4 linked regions of the Arabidopsis thaliana genome follow. The protein of the gene in region 1 purifies or fractionates together with the protein of each later gene. This does not show direct contact. Each region holds a gene or a part of one and is shown in the gene's direction. Other genes may lie near its edges.

The links.
Region 2: the proteins of AT5G25757 (region 1) and AT3G04920 fractionate together in Arabidopsis thaliana (co-fractionation; one large-scale study listed by BioGRID). This does not show direct contact.
Region 3: the proteins of AT5G25757 (region 1) and AT5G28060 fractionate together in Arabidopsis thaliana (co-fractionation; one large-scale study listed by BioGRID). This does not show direct contact.
Region 4: the proteins of AT5G25757 (region 1) and AT1G66070 fractionate together in Arabidopsis thaliana (co-fractionation; one large-scale study listed by BioGRID). This does not show direct contact.

The regions. Positions count from the first base shown.
Region 1 is NC_003076.8:8,964,624-8,969,398, reverse strand, and holds AT5G25757 (RNA polymerase I-associated factor PAF67), read left to right. Parts: upstream 1-1,758; 5' UTR 1,759-1,938; coding exon 1,939-2,292; intron 2,293-2,423; coding exon 2,424-3,403; intron 3,404-3,494; coding exon 3,495-3,588; intron 3,589-3,680; coding exon 3,681-3,752; intron 3,753-3,839; coding exon 3,840-3,884; 3' UTR 3,885-4,254; downstream 4,255-4,775. Other genes in the region: AT5G25770 (alpha/beta-Hydrolases superfamily protein), read left to right, coding at 1-91; PEX4 (peroxin4), read right to left, coding at 226-314, 867-996, 1,079-1,327, 1,411-1,416.
Region 2 is NC_003074.8:1,358,906-1,362,979, forward strand, and holds AT3G04920 (Ribosomal protein S24e family protein), read left to right. Parts: upstream 1-1,931; 5' UTR 1,932-2,083; coding exon 2,084-2,155; intron 2,156-2,454; coding exon 2,455-2,496; intron 2,497-2,589; coding exon 2,590-2,760; coding exon of another isoform or gene 2,761-2,814; exon of another isoform or gene 2,815-2,957; coding exon 2,958-3,044; intron 3,045-3,130; coding exon 3,131-3,160; 3' UTR 3,161-3,544; downstream 3,545-4,074.
Region 3 is NC_003076.8:10,068,915-10,072,844, reverse strand, and holds AT5G28060 (Ribosomal protein S24e family protein), read left to right. Parts: upstream 1-1,945; 5' UTR 1,946-2,052; coding exon 2,053-2,124; intron 2,125-2,367; coding exon 2,368-2,409; intron 2,410-2,518; coding exon 2,519-2,689; intron 2,690-2,840; coding exon 2,841-2,927; intron 2,928-3,024; coding exon 3,025-3,054; 3' UTR 3,055-3,405; downstream 3,406-3,930.
Region 4 is NC_003070.9:24,595,290-24,600,460, reverse strand, and holds AT1G66070 (Translation initiation factor eIF3 subunit), read left to right. Parts: upstream 1-1,829; 5' UTR 1,830-2,094; intron 2,095-2,882; 5' UTR 2,883-2,940; coding exon 2,941-2,953; intron 2,954-3,151; coding exon 3,152-3,273; intron 3,274-3,400; coding exon 3,401-3,549; intron 3,550-3,672; coding exon 3,673-3,820; intron 3,821-3,911; coding exon 3,912-4,068; intron 4,069-4,175; coding exon 4,176-4,267; 3' UTR 4,268-4,652; downstream 4,653-5,171. Other genes in the region: AT1G66080 (hikeshi-like protein), read left to right, coding at 1-105.

The DNA.
Region 1 (4,775 bases):
TGGAGTTGGACACGAAGCGACGAGTTTCATGATCAAAGAATCATCAGACTGGTTTGACAAATTCCTTAAACAAGAAGATATGACAACTTGACAGATTGTAATATTGTGAACTAATAAAGAAGAATCATCTTCTTCTCGTTAATAATGTATTCACTCTCGCAAATCAATATCATTACAAATTTCAAAAAAAAAAACAAAAAAAAAGCAAGAGGATCATCATCATCATCATCCTTTCTTAGGCATAGCGGCGAGGCGTGTATACATTTGTGCCATTGAATTGAACCCTCTCACATCACCAGATCTTAGAAGATTCCCTTTTTTCCATAGCAACCACAACAAAAGCGTCAGTAGAAAAAAAAAACAGTTGCTTACTATAAAAACTAGGCATGGGCATAATAATCAAACTGAAAGAACCGAATCCGAACTGAAGCAACCCGAATCCGACCCGAAATGGTAAACTACTCAAATAGATCCTAAATTCTAGAACCAAAGTAATTAGAACTGAACCCGAACCGAACCAAAATATTTTGCGTATCCGAAATATGATTATATATCCAAAGATATTAGTTATTTTTAGTTTGAATAATCAAAAATACCCAAATAAGGAAAAATATATAAAAACACCAAAATATCCGGAAAAAAAGACAAAAAATATCTGAAATATTCGAAATAAAATATTCTAATGGATCCTAAACTTCAGAACCGAACCCGAACCTGAACCGAACTGAAACTGTTTCGGTTCCTATATGGATCCTAAAATCGAGAACAGAAAGAATCGGAACCGAACTAGAACCGAACGGGAACCAAACCGAATACCCGAACGCCCATGGTTACATTTTTGAAAACACTAAACTAGCATTTTGTACCTGAGTCGCAGTTAAGAGGACTGTCCGGCTCAGGATGAGCCATCAATGCTATGATAGCTCTACACACAGACTGAAGCGTCCAAGCAGGACTCCAAGCATTCTTCAAAATGTCGAGACATATTTCTCCTGTCTACAAAATTCCCAAGTACTAACTAAAAAACCTGCGTTTCCTTTTATCACAGGAGAAGGTTGTTATAAAAAGAGATGCAAACCTTGAAATGAACATTAGGATGGAATATCTTGGTCAAGAATCGAACTTGAGGAGGTTGCAAAGGATAAGGTTCAGGAACAGAAAAAGCAAGCTGAAAAACACCGCCTTCGTAAGGAGTCTCCGAAGGTCCTTTGATAAGAGCGGTCCATTTGAATATGTTGGTATCGTCACAGATCAATTGAATATCAGGATCTGCTACTTTCTCTCGCTGTACCTCTTTGTATTCTTTAAACAGTCGCGCTCTTGATGCCTATTACATCAATCAAATCAAATCAAATCATAAACATACACAGAGAATTTGCAACAAAACAAAAAAAAAATTAAGCAATTTACCTGCATCTCTAATTTCCCAAAGAGAACGAATTGTCAACTGCAAAAAGATCAATCTAAAATCAAGAAGAAATAAACCCTAATTTCTTGTAATTCACAGACGCAATTATCAGATCCCGTAACAATCTCAATGATTAGGTGAAAAGTGTTTTATACAAGAACAGTGATAATTAGGGTTAAGCAATGACTCTGCTTTAAGATCTAGAAAGAAAGACATAGGAGGGATGCGAAACTATAATTGAACATAAAGAGGACGAATCAACGAAGCTTTACCTGCAAATATGAGAGCGAGAGAGAGAGAGAGAGAGAGAGAGAGAGAGAATAGCGATGATTATGTGAAGTTTTTTTTTTCCGAACCATAGAAAGTTTTATTAAAATGACTTTATAAAAAAACATAACCGGATGATAGAACCGGTGGTAATAAGGAAACGAAACCGGATGATAGAACCGGTGGTAATAAGGAAACCCTAGGCGGTGGTAGTGAGTTAAGAGCTAACATTGTTGCGGCCGCTAAGAATTGATCCGGCGAGAATGGCGAGCAGCAATGAGTATGAGGAAGGTCCGGGGGAGAGGGAGAGTGGGTACGACCCAAATATGGTGCCGGATTCGGTGAAGTCGTTCGTGTCACACATGTACAGACACATAAGGGATAAGAACGTGTACGAGATCCACCAGATGTGTGAGACATCGTTCCAGAGCATATCGGAGCGTCTGTTCAAGGACACGCCGTGGCCAAGTGTGGAAGCGATTGCTCCTTACGTAGACAACGACCATGTGTTCTGTCTTCTGTACCGTGAGATGTGGTTTCGACATTTGTATGCGAGGTTGTCTCCGACGTTGAAGCAGAGGATTGATTCTTATGACAACTATTGCAGCCTCTTTCAGGTCTGTTGTGGAATTCTTCTACTTCTTCTTCCTTGTTAGATAGAGATGTTGTTGATTTTGATTTCTTTTGTGTATGTATTGGCTGGGAATAAATACAAGTAAGTAGACCTTCTTCCGTTTGTTCTTTCTAGGTTGTGTTGCACGGCGTAGTGAATATGCAGTTGCCGAACCAGTGGTTGTGGGATATGGTGGATGAGTTTGTCTACCAGTTCCAAAGTTTCTGTCAATTCAGAGCAAAGCTCAAGAACAAAACAGAGGAGGAGATTGCATTGCTCAGACAGCACGATAAGGCCTGGAATGTCTATGGCGTGCTCAACTTCTTGCAAGCACTTGTGGAGAAGTCTTGTATCATCCAGATCCTTGAGCATGACAAGGATGGCCTTGAGTTCACTGAGACTGATGGCTACGATTTCAGCGGTGGCAGCAACGTCTTGAAGGTCCTCGGTTACTTCAGCATGGTCGGTCTCTTGCGTGTTCACTGCCTCCTCGGTGACTACCACACTGCTCTCAAATGGTTGCAGCCCATTGACATCACTCAGCCAGGTGTTTACACCAGTGTCATTGGTTGCCATATCGCTACTATCTACCACTATGGATTTGCCACCCTTATGTTGCGGAGGTATGTCGATGCTGTTCGTGAGTTCAACAAGATTCTCCTCTACATTTTCAAGACTAAGCAGTACCATCAAAAGTCACCTCAGTACGAGCAATTACTCAAGAAGAATGAGCAGATGTACGCTTTGCTTGCTCTCTCCCTCTCCCTCTGCCCTCAAACTAAACTCGTTGACGAGTCTGTCAACTCTCAGCTGCGAGACAAGTATGGTGAAAAGATGATGAGGATGCTGAGGTCTGACGACGAGGCCTTTGGTATTTATGATGAGCTCTTCTCTTACGCATGCCCCAAGTTTATCACCCCTTCCGCACCACCAACTTTCGAGGAACCTCTTGTCAATTACAATCAGGATGCATACAGGCTTCAGCTGAAGATGTTCCTTTACGAGGTAAAGCAGCAGCAGCTCTTGTCGGGAGTGCGGACTTTCCTGAAAGTCTACTCCTCCATTTCTCTTGCTAAGCTCGCAAACTACATGGAAGTTGATGAGCCCACTCTAAGGTCAGGGACTAACTATGGGCATTCTTATAACTATTATTACCAAATCTACTTCTCTCTTTTTCTTTGACATGTACGGGGTTTTAATTTGCAGGACCATATTGTTAACATACAAGCACAAGACCCATTCAGTTGATTCCGATGGTAGGATCATCTCCAATGCAGACATTGATTTCTTCATCAACAACGTATGTTCTTTCTTCTCTCTCTGTCTTTCTGATATCTATACTCTGGTGCTTTTACAACGTTTGTAACAACTCTAAACCTGGTGACACTGCAGGACATGATCTACGTTGTCGAATCAAAACCCGCAAAACGTTATGGTGATTTCTTCTTGCGGCAGATTGCCAAGGTATGTTGTATAAACTGAAACTAAGACTAGTGCACATGAACTCTTGTTTTGATCTTTGGCTCTTCTTTTTTTTCCTCCATTGCGCAGCTTGAAGGTGTGATCAACGACATGGATCGTGTCAAGCTGGAATGACGACTTTTCTGTGTTACACCTAATTATCAATGCCCAATCTGATATGATGCTTTCTCTTATAAACCATAAGTTTACCTGGAGCCAAACACTTTTTGAGTAACTGTCTTCAAATTTCAACCATAAATCATTTTTGTTTTGAATTATTGCCATTTTTTTTTTTCATATTGAGTATGGCAGTTCAGTTTTTGATCGAGTTCCTTTCGAACTATTTGTCCTGTTTCTATATGCCAACGACGAGTTTAGTCTTCAGTAGTACAACTTTTTCCGTTTAAGATGTGCAAGCTTTCTTGTTCTTCTGTTAGAAAATTATATGATTGTCTCAATCTCATCAACAATAGTGAAATTGTAGTGTCATCGAATCATTTATAATTGTTTCATCGCTAATTCATTAAAGTCACTTTCTTCTATAACAAACAAACAGGTGAACAAAAAACCAAAAGAGAACAAATGACGTAAAGTCTTTTACCACAAATTATTTGTTTTATGATGAATCCAAAAAATTGTGTTTTGCTGTTCTGAACGGTTGTATTTTATTATCACAACATTTAGTTAAAAATGTTGACGATTATTTATGTGTTCATGTCTTTTCATCGTAACTTTCCGCTAACATTGCCGGTTATTTTTTTTTTTAGTACATTTTTATCGCAACTTTTCGTTTGTATCAGTCATTTTAATATTAACAGTTATTTTTTGGTGGGGATAACTACTTTTTTCGTTTGTGTCTTTTTATCATAACTTTCTATTTATATAGACGGTTATTTTTTTCTTTATTGTCTTTTTATCGTTACTTTTTATTTGTGTTTTCTCATCGTAACTTTCTGTTAATATCGATGGTTATTTTTCGTTTGTCTTTTTATCGTAACTTCGTAAAACAATTGACGGTTATTTTTT
Region 2 (4,074 bases), on another chromosome or scaffold:
ATTATATTACAAGTTATAAGTTATTGTCCAGGGGCGGATCTACTATCAGAGGAGGGTGGGCACGTGCCCCATGCTAAATTTTGAAAAAACATAATTGATCATTATACATTTAGTTACCATAATTCATTTGGTAATAAGAATTCATTTAGTGCCCCATACAATATTAAAATGTTGAGATCGATTCCCTTCTGTAGTTTTTTGTTTTGCTTTTTTCTTTAATTTTTTTTTTTTGTTTGTTGCTACATCCGATACATCTTTTTGTTTAGTTGTTTCTTACATTTTGTTGTTTCTTTTAAATAGTTGCATTTTTTTTGTTTTACTTTTCTTCTTAATTTTTCTAAGTAACTGTAAAACTTTGCTTTTTTTCTTTAATTAATCTTTCGTATTCCAATTTAACTTTTGATAAACTTTTAAGATATGTTTCTATATTGTAAAATTAGTAACTACACTTCAATTATATATTTTGTGTAAACTAGTAAATTAGTAAAAATACAATTTTTGTTTGCAGTTTATTTAATATTTATGGTTGAAATTTGTGAAATATATATATATATATATATGTAAATTATATATATATATTAGCATTATTTAATTAATAAAGTAAAATGATATATTTTTAATATCTAATATATGTAATTTAGTATATTTAAAAACCAATAGCTATAATACTTTTAAAACAAATTTTTAATATCTAATATATATAATATATACCCTGTACAAATTCAAACTTGAAAATTTATGTTATACGCGTCAAGAAAATTCAATGGAACTAAAACGAATAAAAAAGATAATGAAAAATGGCAGTAGGGACATACGAAGAATTGAATTAGGTTGACCCATTAAAAGAAGATAACAATAATTGATCTTAATAGTAGATAATAGGCTAAGAAAGCAAAATGGTAAAATGGTCGTTAATTGATGACATGCATGTGGGTATTGAATGTACAGATCAACGTACTTCTATTCGTACCCAACTCCAACACACACTTGTTCAGTGCCAACCATTCTTCTCATATCTTCCCTCCATTCATTTTCTTGTCGGTCCTTATAATCTTTCCCTCAAGATTTTCCTTGTTACTTTATAAATATATTATTTTGTGTCTATCCATTATTATGAATATAATGCAAGAGGGTCTCATCACTACCAGCAACTAATAATCAACGAATAGATGGTGTTATTAAATTTTGTCCTCATATATATATTTGGCGATCTTAAAATTTATACATGTTCCAGCGAATGGTCGAAATCTGATCAGTACAACCTTCAAATGATCTTTTGCGGTGGAAGCCAACTCATTTTAACACACTCGTGGCTTAACAAGATCAAAACATTATATTCTGTTTTATAATAGTTTCTTTTGAGCTTTAATAATTACTCTTCTTTCCCAAAAGTTTCATAATATTTCTTTGCAATAACTCCGGCAAACAATTCTTATTTGTTAAATAGTAAAAGTAACACGTTGACAAGACAAAAAATGATTATTCCCTACATTGTAAGTGTAAAACACCAAAGCACAACGAATAAAATAAAATAAAAGTTTCTTAGCCGTTTGTGTTTTTCTTTTCCCAAAAGTTTATATTAAGTGTCAAAGTACAAGTTAATTAGTTCTAATCAGCTGAACACAACTATACATATACACATTAAACTGTCATTTAGTCTTAAGTGTTTGACATTGGTTAATTCTAACTCAAAATTGCTGAATTCGTAGCATTAATGAACCCCAGTTTTGTGTTATGTACAGAAAATATTGACTCGTGGCGTGGGGGAAACAAAGACTTTAACCAATGTCCAATGACAATTGTTTGTGACACTAGGCTATAAATATTTTAGGCCCAGTGGGCTTCGTTTTATTTTCCCATGTAAATGTTTATTAATCAAACCTAGAAAACCAAACGGCTAGGATTAAGTAAGCCCAAATTAAAAGTTGAGGCCCATACAAAGAGAACACAAAAGAAACCCTAAGGAACTTGTAACTATATAAAAGCTCCGACTTCGATTCGGCGTCTCTTTCCTTCACCTGAGCGGACGAAAACACTCAAGCTTGCAGAGATCTTTCACTTTAATCCTTGAGAAGTAGCAAAAATGGCTGAAAAGGCGGTCACCATCCGAACCAGGAAATTCATGACCAACAGACTTCTCTCCAGGAAGCAGTTCGTGAGTTCCATTATTTTTTTTCTCTTCTCTATCTGCATATCATTTTTGTTCTTCTGGGTTTTGTTTTAATGGGAATCTAGTTATAATTTGATATGAACCCAATCTCGAGAGAATGCATTCGTTGTCTCGTCAAATTTTTATAATTGGGGTTTGATGTTTTAGGTCAGGCTTTCAGATTTACGACCTAATGTTAAAGCATAGATAGTGTTTAGATCATATAGTATTGATCTGGCGCAATTTAGTTCCGTTTGAGATTTTGGAATGAAATTCTAAGTTATGGTGGATTGTTGAAAATATAGGTTATTGATGTTCTTCACCCTGGAAGAGCCAATGTTTCAAAGGTTTGTTCTTTACTCACTTTGTTACTTCATCTATTTCGAGTTCTGATAGACTATGAGAGGTTCTAACGGGAGAGTTGGTTTTATTTTTGCAAGGCTGAGCTGAAGGAGAAGCTAGCAAGGATGTACGAGGTCAAGGATCCAAATGCAATCTTCGTATTCAAATTCAGAACCCACTTTGGAGGTGGTAAATCATCCGGGTTTGGTTTGATCTATGATACTGTTGAGAGCGCTAAGAAGTTTGAACCCAAATACAGACTTATCAGGGTAAATGCTTTTTCCACTCTTGTTTCCATTGTTATATATTGCTACTCACATTGACCCGTCTTAAATCATTACTCTTGCTCATTACTGTTTGTCTGAAAATTATAAGCTATGTGATAAGTTTCGGACTTTATATCGTATTGCACTTGGTGTTCTCTGCATCTTTATACTTAAACATGCTTTGTCTATGTGGTTGGCAGAATGGACTTGACACTAAGATTGAGAAGTCAAGGAAACAAATTAAGGAAAGGAAGAACAGGGCGAAGAAAATCCGTGGTGTTAAGAAGGTATGTATACTGGTTTTCCCTCTTGCTATCTTCTGTTTTTGATTGTGACTGTAGCTTTAAGAATCTGTTTTGATCAATGTTTGCAGACAAAGGCTGGTGATGCCAAGAAGAAGTGAGATCCTGAAGAGAGAATCTTTATCTTGTGGGTTCTTGTTCTCCATAATCAATCACCTTTTATGTTATTTGTCCGCTGTTAGATCGTTTCTCCAACTAGACATGTTTACTGAAATCTGAGATTTTCGTTTATTTTTGTTTTGGTCAGTTTATGTTTTGAGTTTAGAGAAACATATGATCCAAGGTTTTTGTTCAATACAACTATTTAATCTCTCTCTCGTCTCTTTCCACCATTCCCATGCGCAGCAGATATAAGCATTTTCTTGTTCCTTAGGTGATTTAATTCTTGATCGGTTACTCGTGCGGCTGTGTTTGATTGTAAACGTGAGTCTCTCTGGCTATTATCGATGTTATTTACCCACATATAATGAAAATTTACTTAGATCATAATTATGAAATCTCGCAAAGTTTCTAATTTATTATATCACTTTTGCTCCTTACTATTTTAATGGAAAAACTGTGATAATTACATGTCAATCACTGAATTTGAACAGTAATTATAATTTTCTATACCGCACAACATATGCTTATTTTGGTTTTGGGTACTGTCTTATTAGTTACATACGGTTTAGGTTGGCTTGTTTGTTTGTTTTGTCCTAGCTAATCACGTTAATGAAAACGCTCTACCAAATAACCGCGTTTAGAAAACGCTATTAGTTACCGAGTGTGGTTGGGACCGAGTGAGGACGTCACGGCTCCAACCAATCCGCAAATAAGGAAGCGCGTGTGTGTAAGTAGTGGGTGACCACTTTGCCTAGTCTTAAACGTTAAGTCTGGAAATACCAAAACTACCCCTGGTTTGGTCGAAGATTCTCACGCCCCTACCACCCAACCCAATCACAATCCTCGTGAACGAACACACCACCTTCTCTCCAATCTGGATCTGGTTCCTCTTCTTCTTGGTCTCTTCTCCATC
Region 3 (3,930 bases), 1.1 Mb from region 1:
TATAAATTTATTCAAATATTTATCGATAATATTTAAAATTTGAATAGTAAATAGTGATCCACACACTTTTTCTAATATTTAATTTAGTAATTTTTGAATTAAATAAAATTTCAATCATACACATTCAATTTTACTATACATTTTAACTATCTCTTTCATCATAATAAACTGCTTTTTAATTTTATACACTCCAACTTATTGATGATATTTGAATTTTAAATTGTAACTCATATTTTTCAGTATTTAATTTAGTATTTCCTTAAACTAAATTTCAATCTTACAAATTCGATTTTACAATACAATTTAAATATCTTTTTTATCATAATACAATACAATTTAGTTCGATTGTATACAATTCAAATACAATCCAATTTTTCAATACAAATAAAATTTAATTCTATACACTTCATCTTATTGTTAGTTTTCCTTTTTAATTAAAAAAATTATAAGTTAAATTTTTTAGATATAGAACTATAAATTAGTATATGTAAATATGTTTTTTTTTTTTTAAAGAAACTTTTTTTTAACATATGTCAACATCTCAATGATAGACCTGACACGTGTCATGATCTCGTGAGTTAGTAACTCCGTACTTTATATAATAAGATATATATATATATATATATATATCTATGATGTTGTCATGTAACCAAGGCTGCCTCTCTGAGCAGTCACCCTCAAACATTTATATGAATCACAATCAAAATCATTTTTGTTCTTCTAGACAATCTTAAAGCTTCTCTCTCTCTCTTTAGATTCTTTGCACAATAAAGCTTTTCATGAGCTATTCAATTTCTCTTCTAATAAGCTCAATGAGTATCAATCTATTCTTGTCTTAGAAATGTCAACAATTACCATCAATTAACCCTAATTTATCTTCTAAAATTCCCTATTCAGGAAACCCTAATTTTGATAAAATCTAACAATAACCCTAATTAATCCCGATATACACAATTAAATTGTTAGATCTATATATTCAGAATTTGATTGGACCATGGCTTGACACAAATCTCCAATTTATGCACGTTTTCTCTCCGATTTGGTTCACCAAACTCGTCCATGTTGACCACCGTCGGTTGAGATGATGAGGACAGTGGATAAGAGACGAATTTCGTTGATATTCTCTTCCGATTTGATGAACATGAACGCGTGAGGCTGATGATCATCAGAGACCGTTCAATCGCCATCGCACCAAAGAAGAGAATAGAGATATCCAGAAATGAGAAAAACCACAGGCAACTGAAAAAAAAATATTGTTTTGTCAAAACACGCGTCCAATGAGAAATGGACACGTCATCGAACCTTAACACCAAAAAAAACTCTAAGCTTAGGTCGTTCGTAAGTTTATATCACATGTTTCATTTAAATTTTGTCTTATTTTGCTAAGGATTCTTGATAAGAAATTTTCAATCCCCAATGGACCTGCTCTAACATGACAATTTGTGTAGAATCGTTATGACGTGGTAATATATGCTAGGATTGAAGGATGACATATGATTGTTTTGGTTGAAATGAAAAGAATCGAGAGAAGATGTGATTGCAATTTGTCTTATGCCATGTAGCTTCCTCTTAAATATTTTTCATTTAATTGACATAAACACATGGAAAAACTTTAAAAACTTCTTGCAGCTAATCAATTTATAATATATATGTTTATTTGAATTAAATTAATTAAAAGAAAATTTCTAGAAAATAAAAATCAAAAATAAGTAAACAAAAGATTAGAAATAATTATACAGTATACAATGATATTGTCGTTCGTTAATCAAATAAAATATGAAAGTATGTTTTTATAACATGAATGATCAAAATAGACAATTGTTTTGTCTTTGTATATCAAACCCGAAACAAACTAATCTATTCTCTGGGCATGGATATTGTAAGGCCCAATTAAATTCGGCCCATCAAACGAAACCAACCCTAATAATCTGAAAGAGAGCTATATATAAATAATCTAGGGTTTAGTGTGCTCCTCCTTCCAAAGCCGCTGCGAAACTCGTCGATTTTCAAAACCGGAGCTCAGAGACTGATCTCGGAAAGTAAATCGCAGCCATGGCGGAAAAAGCTGTCACTATCAGGACCAGAAACTTCATGACCAACAGGCTTCTCGCCAGAAAGCAATTCGTGAGTTCCCATCTCTATGTTCCATTTTGCAATCTCACAGTGTTACGTCTTCGCTGTATCGAATGATAAAAACTATAGTTTAGGTAGAAACAATCTTATAAGAACAGATTCATTGATCATTTTGATGTATTGCTAGAGGAAATTTTGAATTTTGCAACTTTTAGGTTTGATGTTTAGTATTTGGATTCATTTCGATGTTGCATTTGGAGTATTAATCATCAGATTTTGAATCAATTAATGTAGGTTATTGATGTTCTTCATCCTGGAAGAGCCAATGTTTCAAAGGTATGTTCTTTACGTACATTGGCTTGTGTTGATTACAATCCAAGCTTGTGCAGTTGTGTATTGTTTCTTAGTGATGTTGTGTACTGGGTGGGGCTTTACTTGTTTGAAGGCTGAGCTTAAGGAGAAATTGGCGAGGATGTATGAGGTTAAGGACCCAAATGCTATCTTCTGTTTCAAGTTCAGAACTCACTTTGGAGGTGGTAAATCTTCTGGATATGGTTTGATCTATGATACTGTCGAGAACGCTAAGAAGTTTGAGCCTAAGTACAGACTTATCAGGGTAATTTCTCTTTACTTGTTTGATAGTTAAGTAAAACTTTTGGTTCTAGTTTTTAGTCTAGCTTACTCTTGGTGCTTTGATTTTCACTGCTTTGCGATGAAACAATGGTGTTGCAATCTCATACTGAAATGATTGTTGATGTGATTGACAGAATGGACTTGACACCAAGATTGAGAAATCAAGGAAACAGATCAAGGAGAGGAAGAACAGGGCGAAGAAGATCCGTGGTGTTAAGAAGGTAAGAGAGACCAACACTAACCAGAAATCTACATTTGCTATTGTTATGTTTGTGCCTGTTTTGTCTTAACGATATTTGCATTGTTTTGTGAGTGTAGACCAAGGCTGGTGATACCAAGAAGAAGTAAGACGTTTGAAGAGGACAAAAGCAGCAATATGGTTTTTGTTCTGCATCACTCCTTCTTTGAAGCCATGTTTGCTATTAGACATCTTCTAATTATTTCTCGATTTTGTGCTTCTTTTTGTCACACTTGCTCTATTTTGGTTTGGATCTTGTTTTAGAGAAACATGTGGTTAAGATTTTGTTTGAATACATTGATTTTAAACTTCATCCTCTTGCGTTTCGGAGATTGAGACTATTGTTCAACTTTTCAATTTTTGCTACCACATACCACAAGATTAAAAGTTGGATTCTACTTGAAATTCATTAGTTGTCATGAGAATAAAGAAAAAAAGACTACGTTCTGGTTTCACAGGGGAATTCTATTTTTGACTGCAATATTCTAAAGAACTCAACTTTCTGCATTTTCAAATGTATATCAATGAACCATTCAAAGGTTTATCATTTTCCACCAACGCAACATCGATGACGGATACAACAATCTAAATAAGCAAAATAGATGTTTCCTTGTCTCATGTTAAACCGAAAAACCATTGGAAAAATTTAGGGATTTTACAAGAAGGAAGTAAGGAACCCATTTGGGAGACTTAACATGTAAAATACTAGATATTGATTTATAAGAACTAGATATTGATTTACAAATACTAGATAGTGAATATGTTTATTGAAAAGTTATATAAACTTTTTTATAAGAATTAGATATTTCTACCAAAATAATATTAAAAGAATAGAAAAAGTATAAGAGAGGAGAAAAACGATGAGAAGTTCATTATGTCATGTGTTATATATCAATTAGTTTATTTTTTCATGAATTAAAAATTAAATCAAAAACTAAATTACATTAAAATATTATTTTGGAGAGACTTTCACAGTCTCTAATCAA
Region 4 (5,171 bases), on another chromosome or scaffold:
GGAAGTAAATTGGTTGTTCCTATGGATATTTTGGATCGTTGGTTTAAGAAGTTTCAGGAGAAAGCTAAACGTGATCCTGATTTCCTCAAAAGCTTTGCTTTGTAAGGTTAGCGTTTTTGTAACATTTGATCTTGTGGTTCTATGTGATGAATTGAACAAGAGATTGTAGTTTTACTTTGTTTGTCAATGTTTATTAACTAGTTGATCATACTCTGCTTTTAAGCAATTTAAAGTGTTGAACTTTATATCTTGTTGGTTTGAGGTAGATGAAAAGGTGAAGATTTAATCTGTCTTGTGTTGAGGAATGAATTTTGATTCTTAGTTTTTGATTAGCTCACTTTGGTATACTGTGTGGTTGAATCCATTTGATCTTGGGTTATATATGATGAATTGGAGGAGAGATTGTAGTTTTACTTAGTTTGCTAGTGAGATAATATGAGGGTTATGAATATTTTGGTTTCAGTGTTCTTCTTGCTTACATATGAATCACAGTTTTAGTAGGTGGAATGGTGGATACTGTTTCGTATCTATTGTTCATAAGTTTATACTCTGCTGTTAGAAATTTAAAGTGATGAACTTTCTCTTGTTGTTTTGAGGATTGAGGTAGATGAAAGGGTTAAGATTAAATCTGTTCATGTTTTTATGATGAATCTAAGACAACATTTTAGTTTACTTAGTTTGCCAATGAGAAAATGTGAGAGATATGCATAATTGCTTTCCATGTTCATATTTTTTTCTTCGGTTAATTTAGTGCAATTCAACAGAGGAAGGTTTGACATTTTTTGGTCTAGTAATATATGATTCAGTATTTGGTCAGAGGATAGTTTAACAGTTTCAGTGTTCTAACTCACATTATAAATCATAGTTTTGGTAAGTGGATGCTGTTTCAGATTCTGGTCATGTTCATAGGCTCAATCAACCTTTGATCTTAGCAATATAAAGTGTTGAGCTTTATATCTTGTTGAATCGAGGTAGATGAAAAGTGAAGATTTAATCCATCTTGTGTTGAGGAATGAATCTTGATTCCTAGTTTTTGAGAAGCTTCAGTTTCTTACAGTGTGTACTGTGTGGTTTTACCCGTTTGATCTTAGGTTCTATATGATAAATGGAAGAAGAGATTGTAGTTTATTATAATTTAATCTTATGTTCTATATTTGTTTTCAACGGTTAATTCAATATTTTGTGAGAACTATATGAGTAGTTGCAAAATATGAATCACATATACATTGAGTGGATACTGTTTCAGATTTGGTCATGGTCATAAGCTCAAATGTAGCTCTTAAGTAATTTAAAGTGATGAACTTTATTTTTGTTGCTTAGAGGTGGATGAAAGGTGATGATTTAACTCAGCTTGTGTGTGAGGAATGAATCTTGAATCTTGAATCTTGATTCTTGTCCACTATATCACAGTAGATCGTTAATACATTGATCTAATCGATTGAAGTTGTTGTTTGATATGGTTCTAGATTGGCTTACCAACGGCTTCAATATTCAATGGACCTAAACAATTTGTAGAGTCAAGAAGCTTACAAATATTCGGGATAATCTGACTTGGATGGACAACTCTAGTTGTCTGATACATACGATGAATCAAAATCAAAGCCTTTAACTTAAACTTCAATCTCGAATACATAAGTATTTTCTACAATCGATTGCACACATGTGAGAATACCCTTCAACCCTCATTTGCAAAAAGTACTTAATACTTGGTCAGCAAATTCAAATCATTGTGCAAAAACTCCAAAAAAAAATGATTAAAAACGGAATAAAAAAATGGAGAGTGTAAGATGGAAAAAGTTACATGTTGGGGCCACGGTGATCGGTTCGACCGTATCAGTCTAACCGAAATTGACCAAACAACTTTGGTCTATACTTTGATCGGTTCGACATGTTGGGGCCACGGTGGAAAGGCTTTATAAAAAGGCATAAAATCTAACGAAAAACAAAAGGAAACACACAAAAGCCCTAAATCTCTTTTTAACCTCTGAAGCAAAAACCACCACATCGGAGATTTCTAATCCAACGAAAACGCTTCAATTTTCTTGCGATTTCTCTTCCTCTGCGAAAAACCCTTTTGGATTCAGACTTTCCTCGGTATGTTTTCTTATCAAAGGGTTTTCCTTTCTCAGTTAAATTCGCTTCTAGATCTTAATTTTCGATTGATTCTCTGGTGGGTTTCTATAGAATTGCTCCAAATTATGATTTTGATTTGATTTGATTTCTTAATGTTGGGTTCTCGAATTCATGGTTAATGATTCAAACTTTATCATCAAAACTTCTCTGTGTGTAGTGTAGATTACTATGACCAATTCGTTACTTTTTCTCTGCTCTTTGTTTGCATGATGATGTTCAAGTTGAATCCTTTTTTTATTGAAACAAGGACTTCTTAAGGTTTTAACCATTTTGATTGATTTCGATTGAGGAATTCATATCGATGTTGCAAATCCATAGGATTGGATTACCAAAATCAGAAGGAAATTATTAGTTATGTGTTTAAGATTCTTGTGTTTTGGGGACTGTTTTTGTTTGGTATCTCTCTAAGAGTTCATGGAACTTGTGTTCAGGTTTAGATAGCTGACATGCCTGTAATAGTTTTAATTGATATAAGATATCTTGTCTTTTGTAAGCATTAGATTTAGCTGTTTTTCCTGGGTGTGAAATATTAGGCCTATGTGTTTTTGTTAGCTGTGAAACCTTGATTTGTAAAGTAATAGTATCAGTATTCTCTGTCTATGATGTGAAGTTAGCAAGCTTACTACAAGTAGTTTAAGCATATTTACACATGGGGATCAGTGTATTTGATTATGTGGATTGAATGATTGATCAGTAATGTAGTTTGATCAAATAAGCGTGTTTCTGATGCTTACGCGTATGTTTGGCAGGTTTACCAGTTGGACTCAGATAGAAGCTTATATCTGTACCTGATAATTTGCAGCAAATATGGATGACTGGGGTAAGACTATGCTTTAAGTGTCCTCTCTTATATTCTCTATTTGTATCTAATTATAGTCTTCTTATTTATTTATAGTATTTGATTGGATATGCAAGCAATTTTGGATTATTTGCTAATCTGATGGGTTTCATATTTGATATTTCAAAATCGTATCACTAGCATGTGAGTAGTCTTATAATTTTTATTTTCTGATTCCAGAGGACGAGAAAATTGCACCACTTCCAGCAAAAGTTGAGCTTAAAAGTAACTGGGATGATGAAGATGTGGATGAGAATGAAATTAAGGATTCATGGGAGGATGATGATGATGAACCTGCTCAGGTATAGCTTAGTTTTTACTCTCTGTAATTCTTTCCCTATTGGCTAGTGGCTACTACGTATAATTTGGTTTGAGATTCCAACGGGAATATTTATGTTTTGTCTGCTTTGCCTTGTTGTTTTTCTGTAGCCGCCTGTTATAAATCCTGCTCCGGAGAAGGCTCCTAAGAAAGCAGCCCCCAAAACTGTTGAAAAGAAGGGTAAAGCAGTCGAAGTTCCAAAGGAAGCACCAAAAGAAAAACCTCTAGATCCTATAGCGGAGAAACTTCGCCAGCAGAGGTACAGTTTGTAAATAATATCTTTCCCACACATAATAATTCACTTTAATCTTTTGTACTTTGTGTATGGAAGAAGGCTGTGAAGGTCTATGTGACCTTATATGTTATATTCTTTCTATCACAGGCTTGTTGAGGAAGCCGACTACCGGGCAACTGCTGAGCTCTTTGGAGTGAAGGATGATGACAAAAACCTTGATATGTTTATCCCCAAGTCTGAAAGCGATTTTTTGGAATATGCTGAAATGATTTCTCATAGGATTAAACCATATGAGGTATGTTGTATTCTGCCTTATATACCTTTATTCTCATTGGCTAGTATTGAAGCTCATGATGTGTGAAAATATAGTTTGGTTTCTGTTGCAGAAAAGTTATCACTATATAGCGCTGCTCAAAACAATCATGAGACTTTCATTGACCAACATGAAAGCAGCTGATGTTAAAGATGTTGCTTCGTCCATTACAACGATAGCAAATGAAAAACTAAAGGCAGAGAAAGAAGCTGCTGCGGGAAAAAAGAAAGGTATTATTCTGAATGTGTTACTCACAATCACTTCATCTTTGGTTTATAGTTTTATGAATGTGTTATTCTGAATCCGTTTTTCATGACCATTGGCATTGCTTGATCAGGTGGAAAGAAGAAACAACTTATTGTAGATAAGGCCAATGACGATCTAGTGGCTGGTCCTTATGATGCCATGGATGACTTCGACTTCATGTAGATTAAAAGAGCTTTTTGAGCAAATGCAAATTGGATTTGTCCAGCGTCTATTTTATCATTTATCTATCACTCAAAAGAAACACATTTTTCTTAATTTTGGTTTGAATAGAGCAAGAAGAGCCAAATTTCTGGTTGCGGAAATATATAGTTGGAACATGGGAAGCTTTTGTTTTGGTTTGGTCTGGGAATTCTCTAGAGTCATGTTTTTGGTTCTATTTGTTGGTTGAAAAAGCTATACTTAAAGTGTCCGTATAAATTTATTATTGACATTGATCTGATTAAATCTCTTTGGGGGTTGAATTTCTTATAGACATGAGTGCGTTTCATGTTGTCCAATCTTTAAATACTGCCTCTTGAGTAAGAGAGAAAATGTTGATTCGTTACAATTCGCTAATGTTAGTAGTAAACCTTGAAACACGCTAATATCATCATGACTTTACATTAGCTAATAACATAAAGATGTGAATGGGAATGACATAAAGAATTCATGGGAGGATGATGATGAGTTTTTAACTAAGGAACTCTAATTCCTTACTAGTTAATTTCCAACAACAACACAGTGACTGTATTGTTTAATCTTCTTAATTGGTGGTTGAGTTGCTTCTTCTTCTTCTTCGGACTCTGTGTTGTTTCCTCCGGAAGACATTGTGTCAACAACTTCAGCCTCTTCCACATTCTCTTTTAGGAGAAAGATTAGTGGGATTGATTAAAGAAAGTAATCATATGAATTGATTGATATAATTCTCTGTAATGTAGACTCTTAAATATGTTACAATATCTACTCTCTAAGATATTCTTTTTATAAGAATCTTTTAAAACTTCAAGAAGATTCATTTAATGATTTCCAGTAATGGTGAAGAAAAATATCCAACTAAAAACAAAAAAAAGCAGAAAAATATCCTATC